Linked DNA regions of Tribolium castaneum. The protein of the gene in region 1 interacts with the protein of each later gene in a biochemical or structural test. Links are inferred from orthologs where the notes say so. Each region holds a gene or a part of one and is shown on either strand. Other genes may lie near its edges. The genes, in order: Dys and Dg.

Region 1 (4,527 bases):
ACTGTAACTTGGTTTCCAAACATGACGACAGACAGCCAGATTAAAAGAGCCCTTTTTGCTGTGTTTGCCACACTACAGACACTTGATTAAATTTTACAACAAGAAATAGTTTGGAAATCACCTGTGGGTCACCGGACTAATATAGTCCATTAAAACGTACGCTGTTATGCTCTGAAAGTGGAAAAAAACACCATTCAACATGAAACAAAAAATTATGTTCAAGTCAATCGGCTTGCTGTGGGTGAAATCTACTAAAAACAATGTGGCTGGAACTTGGATAACTACACTTGCGATGCTGGTGTAAAATTGAAGCTCTGCAGGTCTAAAATTCGATTTAAGTCCAGGTTTTTAAGTAATATTTTCTTACGTGTATTTGAACTTATCTCCCGATATTAACATTTTTGAATACACATTTTGTATACATTCAGTCAAGTTTGTGGCCATTGCAGCTATAAAGCCACGAATTTCAAAACTAATCTCATTAATTGAACACAGGGCTAATCCAGACATCACAGGCAACAGACTCAGATTCACATAGAGCCCCGTTTGCTCGCCTAAAACAACAATACAGAAAAAAATTGTTACCTAGCTCACATACCTAGAAGAAACCTAGATATCAATACTGTAAATAAAGGTGCCGAACTTTTGATTGTTTCAGTAAAACTCACTGCCACGTAATTTAGAGCTACCAAACCCAAAACCACAGTGAGAAATCTAAAAATTAAAACCAAATTATTTATTGTCTTCTGATTAAAATCAGGGACCCACCTTGTGCACCCAACCAAAACCATATGCCTGTAAAACCCAGGTGGTTTGCTCAACCTTTGGGACGGTTTATACATCCCACAAGGGAAGTACAATTGCACAAAGCCACAAGTGGCCGTCATCAGCATCTGACATGCTCCTGATAACAATGATTACAATAAATGTAACTCTGCCACAAGCCTTACCTAAGACAGTGGGGTTTCCATTCAGGAACGTCAAAATATACTTATTTAAAAACAAAGTGCAACCACTGAAAAAGTACCACAAAAGCAGGAAAAGTATCGCTCTGAAATTAGCAAGTCCGGCTTTGTGGGTGTCCACATCAGGCAGTTTCTCCTTTTTGGCGACTACATTGTTCTCCTGTTTCACATCATTCGAGTTTAACGTGATTTGAGCTTTATCCATCTTCTGAACAAACTTATCTAAAGATCATTGCTGTCACACAGGTGCGGAGTTGCAGTTTATCTAAGTCAATTTTTTGCACAAAGGCCAAGCAATTGTTAATTCATTGTTTGAAAACATTCACTTTACACGTCAGTTCACAAAAAGCAGAACACTGATGATTTGAACTTAACCTCCAAACCCATGTACTGTCACTAGTGTCAGGAACAGATGACTGGGGTGGTGCTGGGTTGCCAAGTATAATAAACACACTCAATTTATCACTTTTATTTATTCTAGGTGCACTTTTGTGTACCTAAAACAGCAAAAAAGAGCGAATAGACTCGCTTTACCGAAAATAATACAATAAAGGAAAATTTTGAAAAGTGACTCGAGCCTCTTTCCGCCCCCTTTTCAATGTTATTGACCATTTTTCAATACACCAAGGGTCGAATTACACCGTTCAGTCTGTTTTTTGGAGGGAAAACTTGTCTTTTGGGCCCGTTTTTCGTGATGATTTGATTTGGGCCCTAAAAGCCAGGCAAAAGTCTTGCAACGCTGCTCACAAATTGTCAGAGTGACATTCTCGCCACAAACAAATAAATGAATCAAATTCCTCCTGAAACAGCTCCAGCAGTAACGTATTGATTATTTCTTAAAGCGTGTCAGGGAGTGTTATGACAGGGAAACAGGTGCGCGGTCATCAACCCTCGCCGTTGTAAACATTGATCTGTGTGAAGAGGCCGAAGAAATGGCCTCTTCCAGTCAATTTGCCCCCACATTGTGACATTGGCCACGATGCAGAAGAAGGAAGAAAGCTTCGAGCACAAAAGGCTGGAGCTTGAGGCATGGCTGCAGCGGATGGAGGCCCGCCTTGCCTCCATGGCGGCCGTGGGCCACACCGCCGACGTCCTCGAAGTCCAGCTCAGGGAACAAAAAGGACTTCACGCCGAACTCCACCAGTTCAAAGCACAGATCGAGGCTTTCAACCAACTCACACAAAGACTGATCACAGCGCACCAACACGAAGACACCAGCCGCTACAAAAAGGTACACTCTGACCTAACCAACCCCAACTAAACCAAATTTCAGACAGCTGAGTACATCAACCAGCACTACATTCGTCTGGACGCCTGTGTCATCAACAGGGGGAAATTGCTGCACTCAGCCTTGAGCTCCCTTCAGAACCTAGACCGCTCCCTTGACAAATTCCTCGCGTGGCTCAGTGAAGCCGAGTCCGTGGTGGAGACGCTCGAGGGCGATGCGGAGTCCCGCAGGGCCGCCCATCAGTTGAAGGAATTACAGGCTGATGTGGAGCGACAAGCCCCAGCTCACGCCGCCCTTCGCTCGTCCAATTTAGCCCTTCTGGGGACCATGGCCCCCGAAGACGCCCTAATGCTCCAATTGAAGGGCGATGAGATGGAGCGGCGGTGGCAAGCCCTGAAGACACGAACCTCCGATTTGAGAAACCGGCTGGAACACAATGCCGACTATTGGAACGCTTTGCTTCTATCTTTAAGGGAATTGACCGAATGGGTGATACGGAAAGACACAGAGCTGGGGCTAGCAGCCCGCCAGGACGACCACCGAGCGTTCCGCCAACAGCTAGAAGACAAGAGGCCTCTAGTTGAGGCGAGTTTGCGGAGCGCTAGACAGTTCGTAGCGGGGGACCCTTCCGGCGAACTGGCCCGAAACCTGCGGAGGGAATTGGTCAAACTCTCGGATAAATGGAACGCTCTGATTGATAAATCGGACCAGTTGGCCGCGAGGTTCGAACAGAACACTATTGTAAGTGTAATTATGATGAGTCTAATTGAATTATTAATTTGTGGTGTTTAGAAATTGAAACAGCTGACTTTGAATCTGGAAGAGGCGTCCGCGGCTGTCTCCCGTCTAGAGCGCGCTACGCTTAGCTGGAGTGGCCCCCGGAGTGCAGCCGAGGCTAGGGAACTTTTGGCCAGTTTGCGGAATTTAGAGACGCAGCTGCCGCAATTGCAGCGTTCGTTGGAGGAAGCCAGGATTCAGGCGGCTTCCTTGGGGAATGCCTTGCCGAATAATCTGGCCACACAGCTTGAGGATTGCAGTGCGAGGTGTAGGGCGCTCCAGGCGGCGATCAGGGAGAGGCGGGAACAGCTGACTAGCACGACTCAGGGTGAGTTGAAACGTTCTGATTAATAAGTGTTCAATCTTTACGGGTCTGATCTGCCCACATGTATGTAAATTAAAAATGTTGTTGACCTCAAATGTTTGTCTAAGTTTATAGCCGAGAAGTCCTAATACCTACACAAACTTTCACATTTGAAACGTGTGACAATACAAGATGCAACTTTTTGTTCGATACACTTAAAAAACAATGACTAGTGTGATGTAAAGGTGTTAAATCATATTGTGGGCGTTATAAATTAATCTGTTTACACAACAAATGTACACGGGGACGTAACTACACGTCAAGTTTTATTAAAAAGTGTCAGTGTAATCAAAATAGTGGTATGTTCAAGAGAAGATATTTTCTAAGTATGTATTACCTAATTACTACATTCGCGTCTGTTATCTAAATGATCCTTTGGGTGAATTAACTCTGGCACTGAAAATATTATCAGTGAGTTAAGTAATTATGTTTTATAACAATGAATCTTCTTTCGTTCGAAATAAACGAGACAAATTTAAATGTTTAGATAGAGATAATTGCAACAACCCCACATATATTTTTGTAAACTAATGTTGAAGCCAGTTGTAAAACATTTTTATTTATAAAAATATAATATTAGTGCACAATTGTAGCACAAAATTATAAATTTTTGTGTTTTTTGTTTTCTTCCAATAGACTGTGGAAAATTGAACATTTTTTCAAAAAATTTAAATCTTTGTAAAAGACAAACATAACAACAGTCTCATTTTTTTAGTAAATCATAAGAAGACCTTTTTTATAGTAAATCAAAAAATTTCTTAGTTGCAAAAGATTTGACATTTTCAGTCGAATAAATTAAATTTTTCCAGGGGAGATATCCCCAGGCCCCTCCAGCGTCCAGCCGCCATGGGAGCGCTCCACCACCCCCAACAAAGTCCCCTATTACATCAACCACAGCACCGAGACAACCCATTGGGATCACCCCCAAATGCTCGAACTAGCCACTTCTCTTTTACAACTCAACGAAGTGCGATTTTCCGCATACCGAACGGCTTTAAAACTACGAGCAATTCAGAAGAAACTATGTCTAGATTTAGTCAGCATTAATGGTGCTTCGGAAGCGTTCGACTTGCACGGCTTGAGAGGCCAGAACGATAAATTACTCGACGTGGCCGACATGATTTTGGTGTTACGAGCGATTTATGCAACTGCAGCTTCGCTACAACCCGCCCTAGTCGATGTTCCTCTATGTG
Region 2 (4,569 bases), on another chromosome or scaffold:
TTTTTTTCAGAGTTTTTCTACCTAGCTTATACTCGTAGTTTTAATATTTTTAAGTCATATGTCATATGCCTTTTTGGAACAAAATTACATACATCGAGAAAAATAAACTCTTTAATGGCAAACGCTAGTTTTTGTGCGACTATTATTCTTTGAGATATACAGTGGAAACTATTTAAATCGAATCTCTATCATACAATGGTAGTATAGTTCAATTATTTTTGAAAAAAAATACATAAATTTGGTGATTTTTTAGGAGATTTATGATAAAATTCGGCAAAAATAAGAGTTTTTTAGTCAAAGACGTGCTGAAAATGATAAAAAAAGGTAAAACAATGTCATTTTTATCATTATCTGGACCACATTACTTAACTATTTTATTCCGAGAAAGACCTGATTTGAAATGATTTTTTTTTATTTTTTAGAGGTTATTAATACAAGATATCAAGCATATGTCTGTCTTTTTACAATATATTTTACAAAATTTTCAAGAAGAAAGACTAACTTAAACATGTAATATACTGCAAATTTATATTTTGTGAATTTAAATTAGTTTGTTTATTTTATAATTGTCAAACAAAAGGATATGAGAATATAAAGAAATACGTAGAAATTTCGATATTTTGAATTTTTTGTGGTAACAGGTAATTCAACTGCTAGAGGTTCTACTGTAGTTATATTTCCAGAACGCGTTGAGACTTTTAGTGGTTTTTAAGAAATAGCAGACGGAAAATTCAAAGCAATCTACTAGATATTAGGGGACTTAGGTAAACAAGATTGTTTTTTTTTAAACAACCGATACAATAAAAAATAGATTAATAAACAAATTTATTGAATAAGTAAAATGCTGAACTAAAAAATTATGATACATAACAAAGACAAAGATAACAAAATTTTGTTGAAATAATAAAGGAGACAAGAATTATAAGGCCAATAATGTACATAAGAAAAGTGAGGAGCTAGTACACAATAAAAAAAAATATCAATAAAGATATTAAAATCAAGCAAAAATAAGACATTACAAAATAGAAAACGTACGTATTTACCTACTGAAGAAGAGAATCCTAAATTTCAAAAACGTAAAAATACAGAAATTTAATGGAGAAGGCGAAAAATATGAAAAAATAGCAAAAGCATAAAGAAGTACATCTATTACGAAACAAAGACGAAGAACAAATAAGGATTTAGATAGATAATTGCAAAAATGAGACCATTTAGCATCAGCTTTATATGGAATCATATAGAAAACATCATAATATAAATTCCTTGCGTGTTACAGGGGTTCCACTGTAATTATTTTCCAAAAATCTTGATAAAAACCTACACAAGATACCACAGATTCAGTCTCCAGAGCCATCTCTTGTGCATAATCAACATTTTTTACAGAACATTTTCCACCCCAAACTCGCAACCCTCCTCACTTACAACCCCCACCAGCTAGAGCAACCCACCCTTAACCACAGACCGAAATCTGTACTCTTTCTTCTCTTTCTACAGAATTCCCAGTTACGTAATCACTTCCATTCTCTATTCTCTACCAGATGTCGCCGTAGCACCTCCTCACTCACACCACAGATCGAAAGACCAGCTGTTAGGAGGGGCAAATGGGCAGTTGTGCATCTGAAAACTGACAGTCCACGAGCATAGTACGAGATGAAAGGGTAGTGAACGCGCTTCTAGTGTAGTGTTTGTGCCATCATCAGCAAAGGGTTAGCCACTTCACTACTCCTCATCGACCATCCAAGAGGTGAAAAATCCACCTTTAATCCCTCTAAACCCTCACTTTCTGTTAGAAATTCCATGAAAAGCTCACATGTGCGACCCGATCCCGAGCCGGTTTCTCGCTGAAGGGGGCGCATAAAGCCCGAAACGGGGTACAATACAGCAAGCTTTGTGTTTCCCCTCGAGTAAAAGCGCCCATTTGTTATTTTAAGAAACGGAAAAAGCTCCATTTGTTTTAATGGCTTGTTTTGGAATTCTTGACGCGACATGAGTCAAATAAATGAGCAGCGATTAAAGATACGATGCATATGAGTTAACTTAATTGAACATGAGAGGATATTATGGCCATATTTAGACACAAAGAGCGCTTCAAGGCTCCGAAAATCAAATAAAGGCAAATATGTGTCGATGGTATTTGCTTACAAAAGTTGCACAAGTCGACGGTTTAACACTCGGCTGCGAAAGCAATCATAATAACTAGCTGCATTTTCATGACTGATAATTCCAAATTATTAATCTGGCAATGAGAGCGCTCCATATCGTTCAATAAAACATTAATTCGGATTGATGGCTAATGAAATAATTAATCCGAATGGAATCAAATTATTCCGTGAGTAATTTGTAAAGGAAATCACCAAACAAACAAAAAGGAAAAAGATAATAATAATTAATGAAAAGCCCCGAGTTTTGTATCAAACACTTCAAAGGGAGAATTTCGAATGGAAAAGAAAATTAAAAAGAGCTCGGAATTAGGAAACTTTACCGCGAATGTAATTCGAGACGGAGTCATTGTTTATCGTCAGATTTACGTCAAAACTATAAATTTAAAAATAAGCTCAAATCGGAGTAAATAAATTTATCAATCCAAACAAATTCGTTTTATTTTGATTTTGATTATCCAGCGTTACATCACTTCTTTGAAGCCGCCGAGTCTAAAATTATTACGACCGCAAAGCTCCTTGATTGAAATTTGAAATTAATTTCGTCGCATGCCTTTTAAGGGTCGCTCCTTGGCCTTCGTCCGTCTTGAATACCAATATTTTATGACAAATCACCAGTTTTAGCAAAAATACCGTATGCACTATCTCTTGCATAAATCTCGGCCCCTTTATAGCCCCATTACCGCTACAAAACACTTTGATTTGCCTCTTTTACGGCCGGAGATGCTGCGAGTGGGCATCTCATGTTCATAACCCATAACCCGATCTTTATTAAAGGTAATAACTAAGCACATAAACTATTAGTTTCTTTGTGCGAAAATATCGCTCTTCCAAACAACTTTCAACCCACGATGCTCCTGGATAAGAAAAATCTAATCCTTCGGGTTTTCCACTCCTGACGCTAATTTATGATCGACACAATTTTTCACTCTTTCATTCACTAGTGTGAGTGGTGTCTTATCCTTAAATGTGTAAAACGAAAGTTCCTTTTCTACTTGTTCTTGAATCTCCCCTAATCTTTAGGTTTTGTTATCTCTTAAACTTTCTTGTTTTTTTTTCTAACTTTTCGCAAACTGGTAGTGGTATTTTTGCGTTTTTAATTAAAAAAATGCATCAACTCGCACTTTCAACCCGGATTTTCGCCTTTATCACCTTGCAGCGATAATTAAAGCGCTGTTATTCCAGAGATATCGAAAATAGCAACCCGGAAACAAGTACTGCCAACTGAAATCGTAATTTTAACCGCAGAATGTTCCCCGTGTTGTGATATATTCGCGTTAAGCGGAAGAACAAAAGTGTCTTGAGAGAATTTTCTCGTTCGAACTTTCCTAATGTAATTTTCGTCGTGAATTGATAAAGAAAGCAAACGAGAAGTTGGGAAATATTGATTTGTTTTAGGGTAAATACGAGGACATTTCAAACACTGATGAATGCAAACAGCTGTCGAACGAGATGAAAGTATTTTTCGAAATTACATTTGCAGCGAAATGAAAAATTGCACCAACGATTGAAATAACGACGCCGGAATGTTGTAATCGCAACTGTGCGTGCTTGGGCGGCTTTTCACGCGATCGAAATAAAAATTTGTAATTTTTGAAACACATTGCTATTTTCAGATCGCTTGTTTGAAAGATAACGCTCCTGTTTGATTAAAAAGTGTAATAAACGCATTTGCATTGAACTTATAAATAACCCAAGGTTGCTAATTTAATGACACTTTATTTGTTGCCAACCAAGTATAAAAAAACACAGACAAGTTAGAACACTCCGCATATGAATTGTTTTAAGGAGACTCAACAAGGCTTCATTACAGTCGTGGTTTCACGAACTAAGTGATAAAGCTTTGTTGTTTGTAAGTGATGTTAAACCTCGCATATCTCTCGAGTAATCCACATTTAGTTAAGATTTCCATCACATTTCCCTCATGTCGGTCGTCACGTCCTTAGATTTTTATTAATGACCGAATTATCGCTCATTGAATGAAATAGTAACCTGGCTGACCCCACTTATCACAATATTTGGAAAATTCGTGTTAGTCCCCGCTTTATTTGGGCGTGAACGCGGAAGCTTAAAGTGGGTCGTTAACTTCAAAGCGTCGCTTCAAAAGGGCCGACCCAAATATTCCTACATAGAGGAAATCTACGATATTACGTTGATATATGAAAGGACGCGCAAATATTTAACTCTTGTCGAAGAAATTTGAATGAGAAAAGAGCCAGCTAAATAAGACCGGTTTGGACCATATGGGCGCAAATAAGGCCAGATGCAGCACGCACAAGTCAACACTGCGCAATTTTTGCCACAAATTAACTTTTCCGATTTTTTTCGAGTACCCTCGGTTTTTTTTTTGGAAAAGTAGTTATTAACAGTTGGATTGTTGGGTGTCAACTTATTTCAAATTCAGGGGCCT

Evidence for each region.
Region 2: the proteins of Dys (region 1) and Dg form a complex in vitro, tested with the Drosophila melanogaster proteins (2 studies listed by BioGRID). The link is inferred for Tribolium castaneum from reciprocal best matches to the Drosophila melanogaster genes Dys and Dg.

What each region holds. Positions count from the first base shown.
Region 1 is NC_087398.1:6,146,140-6,150,666, forward strand, and holds the start of Dys (dystrophin), read left to right. Parts: upstream 1-1,603; 5' UTR 1,604-1,944; coding exon 1,945-2,196; intron 2,197-2,238; coding exon 2,239-2,934; intron 2,935-2,985; coding exon 2,986-3,298; intron 3,299-4,143; coding exon 4,144-4,527. Other genes in the region: solute carrier family 35 member E2A, read right to left, coding at 1-72, 122-322, 368-554, 599-714, 769-904, 951-1,170.
Region 2 is NC_087396.1:21,080,101-21,084,669, forward strand, and holds the start of Dg (dystroglycan 1), read left to right. Parts: upstream 1-1,586; 5' UTR 1,587-1,744; intron 1,745-4,569.